2 linked regions of the Drosophila melanogaster genome follow. The protein of the gene in region 1 purifies or fractionates together with the protein of each later gene. This does not show direct contact. Each region holds a gene or a part of one and is shown on either strand. Other genes may lie near its edges.

Region 1 (6,329 bases):
CAAGCGATTGCAAATACTAAAAAAAAAAAGTAACTCGATTGTCACTAGTTTTTCCTGACAGGTTTTTAAAAGTGCGTAGCATGAGACACGCAAGTCAAGGCATGCGTTCACGCTTTTCGTTAACGATTATTGCTTAAATGGTTATTGCGTTTCAATGTAAATGTAGAGAGTAGCCTGCGGAAGACCGCACAAATACAAGCACGCTACCCAAAAATATCGAACAAAAAATACCAACTGCCTGCGAAGCGACAACCCTGAAACGTGCAAGAACATAATATTGCTAAGCGAAATCCAGCCCACCCGCCCCCTCTCCGACATGTTATCTGCACCATTATTCGCCTATATTCACTTACCACTGGGATGAATGGAAATCCCGGGCTCATCCGCCTGCAGACGGCGATTTCGTGCAGCTGTGACAGCGCTGAGGCGAAAACCACTTGTTAAATTTGGCCGAACGAACAAAATGAAACACCAAGCGTTCCGCGCGTCCACGTATTCTTCACTGAACGTTCTGCTGGCGAATTATCGTTGGGAAATTCGTCAGTTGCAACGCGTCGATTTCGGGGGACGAATTTGCCTACGTTTGACACTCAGATAACTCTTTTTTCCAGCAAAATGCAACACACGCAAAAACTTCGCGCTCCGATTTTTTGTGCCTAAATTAGTGTGACTGCAGAACAGTCTGACAAATGTACCCAAGAACGCCTAAGGTGGTATTCCCCTCGAGGTGTGAAACGTTGCTGAAGCTAAGACAACAACCAAATCAGACGTTCCTGAATTTGAATATTTTTTTTAATATTTTCGTTGACAATAAATAAATGGCCCACCTTTCGTTTTACTATATTTTAATTCAGAATCTTATCCGAATAGCTATGAAATACCAATGGGCGTTTTCTGCGTTACAAGCCAGAAAAACCAATTCGAAATACAAGCATTTATAATTTTTTCGACCCATTATACTACGACAGCGCCCGCACACATTCATTTATTTAAATTGAACATTTAATTTTATTTATAACATTGTTCTCAGTAAATGGTCTATTGCTTCTGTATGTTTATGTTCTATCAAGAGAGTTTGAATAATTCGGAACAAAGAACTTTTCCAAGTTTTTGGGTGTTGTTGCAGAGCTTAAGAATGAAAGAGTGGTATGAAGATTCACACGGTTTGTTCGTTCGACCGCTTAGAAGCCGTGCACCTTCAGCTGATCCGGCTTAGCTAGACCCACCTTCGTCAACCATTGACAGATGTTCTCACGCTGATCGCCCTGGAGCTGCAGAACCTCACCATACTCTGGGTGCTCGATTACAGTGCCATTGCATGCGAATTCCTGTGAATGAATGTAATTAATATGTTAGTGCTTTTCAACCAAATCCACAACCGACGAAGCAATCAATGTTTTAAACAATGTCTTGAATATGTGCAAATGAACTGCTGACCAAATAGATTTCAATAATATTCGCAGTTTCTTCAAAAATCTGTGCTTTGGAGCTATGAAATGGTTTCTATAGCAAAGAAATCTAATTATAATCGAATAATCTTTCAAACATCTCTTTTTGTATGTACCACTTAGTAAGGGATGTTTAAACTTCCATTCATGGAAATCAATAGATTAGGGGTTCAGATTTTACTGGATTAGCAGTTAAAACGCGTGCATATTATCTTGCTTCGACAGTTGAGGGATATTCCACACAAGGATACCCTAGGTGGACCCACCTTCTTGCAGGAGCGGACTATCTTCTTCAAGTCATACTCCGCGGACAGGCCCTGGACAGTGGTTAGCGTCTTGCGACCGTTCCTCTGCTGGATTCTTATATGCACTAGCCCGTCTTGAATATCATCATCATTGCCCTTGATTGCATCAGCAAAGGGGTCTGTAAAGGCGGAAAAAGGCTTGGTTATTGCGACTATCGGGAAATTCAGGGCATGCAAGATGTAAAACGCAGGTTGTAAGGCATGTAATCACACCCCAGCAGCGTGTTTTTCTTTTGTACCAGAATGCGCTTATGTGCGTGTGTATGGGTGTGTGTGTGTTCGTGATGATGACCGTCAGGGCGGCCATTTTTATGTACATGTGTAGGAGTCGGGGAAAAGTGTCTCGTTTGGCCTAAACTTACCACGAGTGTTTAAATTCTGGATGGACATACGACAATAAAAACAAACCACAGCCTAAAACAAAAACTTTTTGAAATGATTTGTTGATAGTCAAACTTTAATTTAACGTTTTACTGATTGAGTTTTTTTTCGGAAATGTGTCTGACAAGTAGACTAGAGCTGGAAAAAAATCGATTTCTAATCGATACTATCGAGTGTTCAGAAGATGGGCAACGCCCGCCAGCATCAATTATAATCACTTGATTTAAAATTGTTAATCACAAGGGTCTTCGTAAATTTATGAGTTTTTGGAGTTTTCGCAAATAATTAATCAATACCATAGCTTTTGCTTATATTCTAAAAATATGCTACAAAAATATTATAAAACTATATAAGCAATTAAATTTGCAAAAATTAAATTCATGTTATGTAGTTTTGAAAATACAAATCAGACAAATTTTAAATATTATCTGCTATGTGTTAGCGTACGAAATGCTTATCGATAGTTGCCCTGCCAACTCGCACAACACAGAATGCAACCCAGTGTTTTCGGCAAGCGCAGCCAACTTCGCGCTATGTCGGGCTGCCATATTTCTTTCCTTCTTGTATTTCAACGAGAAAAGGTGGGCATTTTGCGTTTGTTCTCGATTTGGTTAAGTTCTAGCGTTCTCTCAGCGTCCCAAGCGCTCCGCAAGTGTAGAGGTATAATGCCTGCACCACGTGTTGCCGTCTATTTGGCTGCCGGCCCGCTAAACCTCGGAGGTAAATTGAGTTTTACCCACACGTGCAACGCAGCGGGCAAATAGTGAATAAAAATTTGAATTAATTTGTAGCGAACCCATAATGGACTTAATCAAATAGTCTATATTACTAAGCGAACGTGGCGTTGATCAATACCAAATTTAATATCGTTTTTCTCTTTCTTTGCATGCTGCTTTTCCTACTGCTGATTTTACATGGATCTTTTCAATAAAGGTAAGAACACGTGTGGTCTTAAAATGCGTGATTAATTCTGTGATGAATGATTGAGCAGAAGAGTTCTTGAAGACTATATTCATCACCCAAGACTGAATATAACAGAAATATCGTTGTCTTTTATTCAGAAAAACATAATCTAACTGCCGACTTTCTTTTTGTTCCATGTTCACCTTTTGGCTGTGTAATTTATTGATTTTCCTTTAAAGGTAAGCATATAAAATGTGTTCAAAATCCTTATTTTTGTCTTAATGAGGATTGATTTAGCAGAAGAGTTCTTGAAGACTATATTCATCACCCAAAACTGAAAACGTTGCAGTTCTTCAAGAAATTAATATAGAAATTATTAATCTAATCACGAAATTTGTTTTTATTTCATGTTCCCCTTTCTTGCTTGCGTTTCTGGCGATTTGATCAAAAAGGTAAGCATTAAAATCTATATTGAGTACTTCAGTTGTGGCTTAATGAGGATTGATTTAGCAGAAGAGTTCTTGAAGACTATATTCATCACCCAAAACTGAAATACCTTTGAAAAACTTTAAATATGGCTTTTTCCTGAGCAATTACTAATATGTTCTTAACTTCTATTCCAGACGTGAGATGGCAACCTCTTCGCACCTCAATTGGTTGATCATTCGCAACAACAACGCCTTCTTGTTGAAGAAGCGCGATGTGAAGAAGCCCTTCAGCACAGTAAGTAAATATGGATTTAAATAACGTGCACCACATTTAAATGATGTTTCCAACTTATAACTTTCACAATGATATTTGAATACAACATGATAGTAACTTTAATCTGATAAAAGTTGGCTTCATCACTACTATGATATGACAAGCACATTACTGACTTCTAAATCCCTTCCAGGAGCCAAACAACTTGGCCAGCGTGAGCTCGTACCGCTACAGCGGCATCGTGCACAAGAAGACCCTGGGAGTCGTGCCAGCTGCCGACAAGAAGGGCTTCACCGCCGTGCTGAAGAAGGGCAAGTATGCCCAGCGCCCCGCCAAGAACACCGTGCGTGTTGACTTCAAGGCCGGTCCCCGCCGTTCCCTGAAGAAGCTGAAGAACCTGCTTATCGGCTCCAAGTACCGCAAGGACCTGACACAGGTGATTATGGCTCCAAGCCTAGAAACAACTGTTTGGGTTCTTGTCATGATGATCTTTTTTTTAATGCTACACAACCAAGATCGCAGAATGATCGTGTTGATAAACTTATCTGAAGCTCTCAAAGCTGAAGCTTATCGTACTTCAGTGTTAGGCCTATTCTAATGATTTTACTTGTGCTTATAGGCTGCCCTCCGCCGCGCTTCCGCTGTCCTGCGCTCCCAGAAGCCCGCCCCCGTCAAGGGAAAGAAGGCCGAGTTTGCTAAGGGAAAGAAGCCCGAATAAACTGTACCAGATTGGGGCTATGCGGAGCTGTTTTCTACTCGAGAATAAAGAAAAAATATTAAAAACACCGTAATATTAATACAGTTCTGTGGTTATTTGTCGATAATGGGTAGCGACCAAGTACTGCATACTTTGGGGCGGTAGTTATGAAATTTTCTATAACCATGAATGAGCTTACCATATATATTGTTGCTTATTAAACGACAAACTATATTATTGTTGATACAAAAGGTATCTTTAGATCAATCAATCTTTGTTTGCCTAAATGATTCTCACTTTTATTGAACTATTATTCCTGGGATATGGATGACGTTACACAGAAAGAGACCATGGAATTGCATTGACGGTTACACGAATAAAAAGATCAAGTAAGAGCGCTATAACTCTAGTCAAACATATATCGCTGCTTATAGTACGCTACACGTGGATTTTAAATGCGCATTGAGCTTGGCTGCTATACACAGCCTCAGTAGAAGTACTCGTACTTCTGGGCGTGGTGCAGCATCACCTCCATCGACTTCTTGCCCTGCAGGACCCCATTTCGTTCCATATAGTTCCAGATGGAGGCCATGAAGACGCAGAACAGGATCACGCCAAACACGATGAACTTGAGCAGCAGAAAGATAGTGCGCATGCCCACGGGGGCGGTGAACTCCACCAGAAGGACCAAGAGGACAAACAGGAAGGTGGCGGCGCTGTAGTACAGTATTCGATCAGTGTTTAACTGCAGCAGGGAAGCATCGCACAGCGCCAGAGCTTCAAGAAGGGCAGCAGTTCTAGCGGCGGGCATGGATTGAATGGAAGTGGAGCTTCCATTGCATTGGATCTCCGGCTGGTGTTGTGATGACTGATCGTCCTCTCCTGTCAAAGCATCCCCTGCTCCTACTTCCCTCACGGAACAGGTTTCACCATCCTCTACCAGGCAGTTCACCTCGATCGTTGCCACTGGCTCCTCACTTCTAGGTTCCAGCTTGAATAACTTCAGCTTGGCCATCACCGCCTCGTGGTCGGAGAAGCTAAATTTCTCGCCGGGTACTCGCTCCGGAAAAGGCAGTTTGTATTCGGCTATCTCAGCATTTACATGATCGCCACCACGCACAAAGATGTGATCGATACGGATACCCAGAGGATTTCTCTCCCGTGCTTGCTTAGATGTGTATGAGTTGTGTTCGCATTCGTTGGTCCGAAAAGAGTCCGAGTCGCAGCTGTCGAGCATCTTGGAGGTATAGAGCAGCACCTTGTAAGAGATGTCCTGTGGCTGGGCATTCAGGTCGCCAGCCAGAATCTGCAGCGCAGAGTTCCCCCTGGTGGCTTCAATGAATTGAGCAGTATCGAAGGCCTGAATAACGCGATGTGTCTTGTACTCGTCGTTGGCATTGTCGTACTCCGCGTGCAGGTGGGCATTATATAGGTGCACCATCTGCCCGCCGACGAGTATGCGGCACAGGCCCACACCTTTGCCGCCGAACCAATCGGCATGCTGAATACGGTGGAAGTAGCCATTTACGGACCACGCATGAAACAGAGTGCCCAGGATGGGGTACTTGGACAGTACCAGCAGACCGGCGCCCATCACGCCGCTGTGAAAGTAGTGGCTATGGGGCAGGACCGCCTCCGTGCCCTTTTGGAGTAGCTCGCTGTCCTCTTGCGCCCACACCTCCTGCAGGGACACGATGTCATACTTCCCGCTAGCCAGCTCCTTGCAGATGGCATCGATGCGGGGTCTGCGATCACTCGACACATACGGAATGCCCCTGAAAGTGCACATGATTAGCCTGTGCAGATCGGTGTCAAGGGAAGTGGGGCTCCAGCAGCCTTAGAAGGAGATGCCTGCTCTCACCATATATTCAGGGTCAGAATGTTCAGCTCCAG
Region 2 (4,503 bases), about 16 Mb from region 1:
GCCAGTAGTTCGTGTTCATCAAGAATTACTCCCACTGCCAAAGAACAAAAACCAAAACATTTTATCGGGGCTTATACTCGTTATTATAACCAAAAAAAACAATTCCACGGCCAAATTGTTAAAATTAACATGTGCTGTGAAACAAGTATTGCTCGCAGTTCAGATGAGCAAATGACAAAATCAATCTCATATTATTCTGAGATAATGAAAATAACATACATATCCCAAATTCATGTACATGTGTAAACTATGTGCCTTTTTCCATTAACGACACAGATAATCGTGAAATAAAGCATTTCACTTTGTTTCTTATCAAAAAAAATACTCGTTTCTTACTCTTCCTTAACCTATCAGTTTATCCCCAACAATACCTTTATTCGTTTATACCTTTAATTCGTTATTGCCAAAGTGGGTATATAAATAGGGGAAATCCGACGTATATTGGTTTCTTTAGTTATCCTAATAATATTGGCTGTTTTTCAAATCGGTCTGTTCTGTTTATTCTACCTACAAAATGAAACTCTTTGGGAAAGTTAAATAGCTTTGAAAGTTTGCTGTTGATGCTTATCAAGATTGTATAGTAGGAATACACGATCGATTATACATGTAAGTAGCCATTACGTATTAAATCTGCTATTTTTGGATTTTTGGTTACAAGCTTAACTTAAATCAATCATTTGACTATTAATTTGAATGGATGGATGCCAAATACAGCATTTTATAAGTCCAAATTCAATGAAAACTCTATTTCAAGCTAATGCAAGTCAATTAAAGGTTTTAACTTTTAGAGTAACAAAAATATGGAGAAGATGGCAGTATAAGTTATATCTGAAACAGAATCTAATCGGGCAGTAATCAAACATCAATAATCTTTGCAAAACAAATAGCAGAGCGTCTCTTTTTAAACTACTCCAAAACTTCTCAGCTACGTCGGTTTTCCGGCACATTTATCTAAAACTTCATTCAGGGAAATAAGCCAACAGATCCATTTGTGAAAATCAACTTTCCTTTATTGTAAAGAATGGCGCCGTTTTCACACGCGATTTTTTTCAGATGTTTTGTTTTTTACACTAAGCGTTACGGTAAAAACAGTAAACAGCGACGTCCCAGTTGTCCAGAGCAGAGTTTTAGCCGGCGATTTACGCGGTCTCCATGGGCTGGGCGGCGGTCTCCTCGGTGTACTTGCCCTTATCCTTGCCGAGAGCGGCCAGACGACCCTTGCCGCGACGCTCCAGGATGGCCTTGCGGTCCTTGTCGAGCTTCAGCTTGACGATCAGCACCTTGCTGGGATGGATGCCCACGTAGACGTTGGTGCCGTTGGCGTTCTCGCGCTGGATCTTCTCGACGTAGACGACGAACTTTTTGCGGTAGGCCTGGACCACCTTGCCCACCTGGTTGCCCTTGAAGTGGCCGCGGATCACCTGGACCTCATCGTCGCGGCGGATGGGCATGGAACGCACATTGTACTTCTGGCGCAGCTCCTTGGAGAGGGGAGCGGACATGAGGCGCCTGCGAATGTGGGAGGGAGCCTGGAAGTGACGCTTGCGGTTCTTCCTGCGCGACGACGACACGAACGGGTTCTGTTTCATCTTGCTTGTGCGGGCTGTAAACAAAAAATAGGCACTGCTTTATTGGCGGGCTCTCCGAAATTCACAATAATTGCACGAACGAGTCGTGCGTTGTTTTCTCTGCTCGATTTCATTGTTTATGGGGCATAATATGTGGGGATGCCGGGCCAAAAACGAAATTAATCACGAAAACGCACTCACCGTCGAAAAATCAACGAAAAGAAAGAAATTTGACAGATGGGTCGCGGTTAGGGATGGCAAAGAGGCAGTGCTGGAGGTGGTATTTCGTAACGATAGTTAACGATGTTATCGGTTGTACTTGTCAGGGGTGAAGAGCATTGGATTCTACGTTTATAAATGGTTTTGATAGCTCATTTTCCTTCTTCTACGCTTATTTTTTTCCTATGAAATTGTTTAAATATTTACTGTTTTGTTTATGTCTTCCTGTAACTGTTTAATTTAATTCAGCTAGTATCGATAACACTGTCATCTCTAAGTCGTGAACTGTCAAATTCAAAGCATGTGCTTTGCAACACTTCAAGGGAGTGTGTCTTTGCTAAAATCGTGGTCTTGTTTTCACTGTTACAATTCAATATTTTCCAATTGGAAACCAGTTTAAATTTTTCCCAACTCGTGAAAAATAAAAATAATTTTAAATTTTCGTTAAACGTTTTTATTACGTTTTAAAAGCATATTTTTCACATGTCAACATACTGATAGTTATAATTTAATAACGGTTCTTAATACCTTTGTAAAAAATGAAATACAGATCAAGGATCTAACGAAAGGCCATTAATAAAGTAGATATGTAAGTAATATAAAAAATATAGACAAATAGTTTTAATAGAATCAATAGCAATTCAGTGATTGAATTCATATTTTTACCAGCGTTGAAGAAAGTTCAGTAACATCTGTTGATCATCCGCACTAACAGAATGTTACCGAAAAGCTCAACGAAATACAGCCCGCTGTTAACTAACATGGCGCTTCGCCAACAGCAACAGGTTTCCTATGGTCCACGATCCCCACATATGTGGAGAATGGAAATTCAGTCGCGTGTGAGCAGCCCACTTTTAACGTTGTGGTGTCTCTGGGGATCAGATCCAAAATTCAAAAAAGTCCAGTTTGGCCTCTTGATTAAATCAATTCTTCCACTTCATTCAAGATGATGAACAGCCTAAAGAAATTGCCCGTGCGCATGGTGAGTTGGCCACGCCCCCCTAACCGACACCTTTATACATACATATATGCCTACAACTAATTCCTTTTTCTTTATTAATTAACTTTTTAGCTGGCTAACGCTGCACGTCAGCAAAGTGCTGCGATGTCCTCGGCAACTGGTCTCCCCCCACCCCTCACCTTTCTCACCGACGATGAGAAAATGATGAAGGAGACTGGTGAGTATACCCTTTGGATCTAAATAGATCATAGTGTTAATGGTACTGTACACGGAGTTGTAGTCCCCATTTGATAGGCGTGTTTTTTCTCCATGTCGAATTTTTAGATATTTTTATGGTGTTTAGAACTTGCTTGGTGTTACGTAACACCAAGCATCGCATTTTAATGATGCTCTTGTTATTTATTAATTTTCCATTGTGCTAACCAGCTGAAGTCTTGCTGCACTACTATGTGTGTATTCGTATTTTTCGAGTTTTGTTCTTTTTTTTTTCCTTTTTTGCTGATAAAGTTTATTCAGTTGAGGGAAACGCGGAGGAGGCCGCTTGCCAGATAAGCACATTTTTATTTTGATAGTAGAAGTAAAATGTCACTAAGTATTAGTGGGTAGGTTTGTCCATTTTCTTTATGACGTTTGTATGTTTAAATATTACAAGATATACAATTTCCGATTTGATCCTTATTGTAAAATGACGATCAACGATTATTACCTTATAATTAATTCCTTATTAAATTAATTTTTCTGGCGATTATTATATAATTTGTAATGATTAATCCCTTAAATTTTTTGTAGTGTAATAAACCTAATATTTTTAAGGTAAATGAGGTCCTTGAATGTGTTTCTATGTTTATAATTTATTCCCTTTGGTGAAAAATATTTTTATCTATATAAAATAATTTTTAATAAAACTATTTCAGTATTTAATAATAGTATGCTTAAAAGTTACAAAATATTAATGATTCATCCCACTGAGGTCCTTAGGTGACAATTTTGTTATGTACTGCCATAATAAGGTTAGCTCTTAAAAATCATACGATTTCTTAAAGCTGGTTACATGCATGTTTAATGAATATAATTAAATTTAGAAAGTTACAAATAATATAATAATATAATATATATAATAATATTTCGAATATCGTGTTGTGTCAAATGTGTTTAAAAGTGTTCACTTAAACTAAATGAATATATGTATTCTTAAAAAGTGCACAATTAATGGCCGAAGAGCTAAAGCTGCCAGCTTGGCAAGTTCAAGGTCTAACCTTATAACAAGCTTTTTTCCCGATGGAAAAATTTTCCTCCCACCTGCTTAATTCTTTAAAAAATTATAATTAATTGATAATAATAATAATTTACCAGTGAGAAAACTTACCCAGGTGGGCTGAAGGAAAAAGGGGTGGGCCCCGCACACACGCCCACCCTGCTCACACACACACACACGCGTGTTCTAAAAATAGCTTTTGCCCACCGCCAACGCTGAACATCGAGTTTCGTCGCTGATATTTCTCGGTTGGCCGTGGTGTTCCTCGTTGAGCGGCCGGCACATAAAGAAAGCAATTTACCAAAGCGCGAGTTCGAGCCCTCAAATTATAAGCCTCTCTCATCCAAGATCCTCTCATTTCCCCTCCCACAGAGTACTGTTATTGCGTGCGCGGAATGTTTCTTATTAAACTTATATAGTGTCCTTAAGGATATCCTTTAACCACGAGTTTTCACAGGTCAGTCAGCTGTACGGTTCTGGTTTTAAACGTCAACCGAATA

What was found. Proteins that work in one complex are often made in the same cells at the same time.
Region 2: the proteins of RpL28 (region 1) and RpL26 fractionate together in Drosophila melanogaster (co-fractionation; one study listed by BioGRID). This does not show direct contact.

Annotation. Positions count from the first base shown.
Region 1 is NT_037436.4:3,219,313-3,225,641, reverse strand, and holds RpL28 (ribosomal protein L28), read left to right. Parts: upstream 1-2,683; 5' UTR 2,684-2,854; exon of another isoform or gene 2,855-3,067; intron 3,068-3,100; exon of another isoform or gene 3,101-3,276; intron 3,277-3,312; exon of another isoform or gene 3,313-3,489; intron 3,490-3,525; exon of another isoform or gene 3,526-3,592; intron 3,593-3,660; 5' UTR 3,661-3,667; coding exon 3,668-3,760; intron 3,761-3,794; exon of another isoform or gene 3,795-3,871; intron 3,872-3,932; coding exon 3,933-4,175; intron 4,176-4,214; exon of another isoform or gene 4,215-4,292; intron 4,293-4,358; coding exon 4,359-4,457; 3' UTR 4,458-4,731; downstream 4,732-6,329. Other genes in the region: eIF1 (eukaryotic translation initiation factor 1), read right to left, coding at 1,182-1,328, 1,715-1,872, 2,116-2,143; nSMase (neutral sphingomyelinase), read right to left, coding at 4,924-6,211, 6,298-6,329.
Region 2 is NT_037436.4:18,896,406-18,900,908, reverse strand, and holds RpL26 (ribosomal protein L26), read right to left. Parts: upstream 1,806-4,503; 5' UTR 1,770-1,805; intron 1,604-1,769; 5' UTR 1,590-1,603; coding exon 1,140-1,589; 3' UTR 501-1,139; downstream 1-500. Other genes in the region: arx (asterix), read left to right, coding at 1-8; CG3902 (uncharacterized protein), read left to right, coding at 2,734-2,769, 2,860-2,965.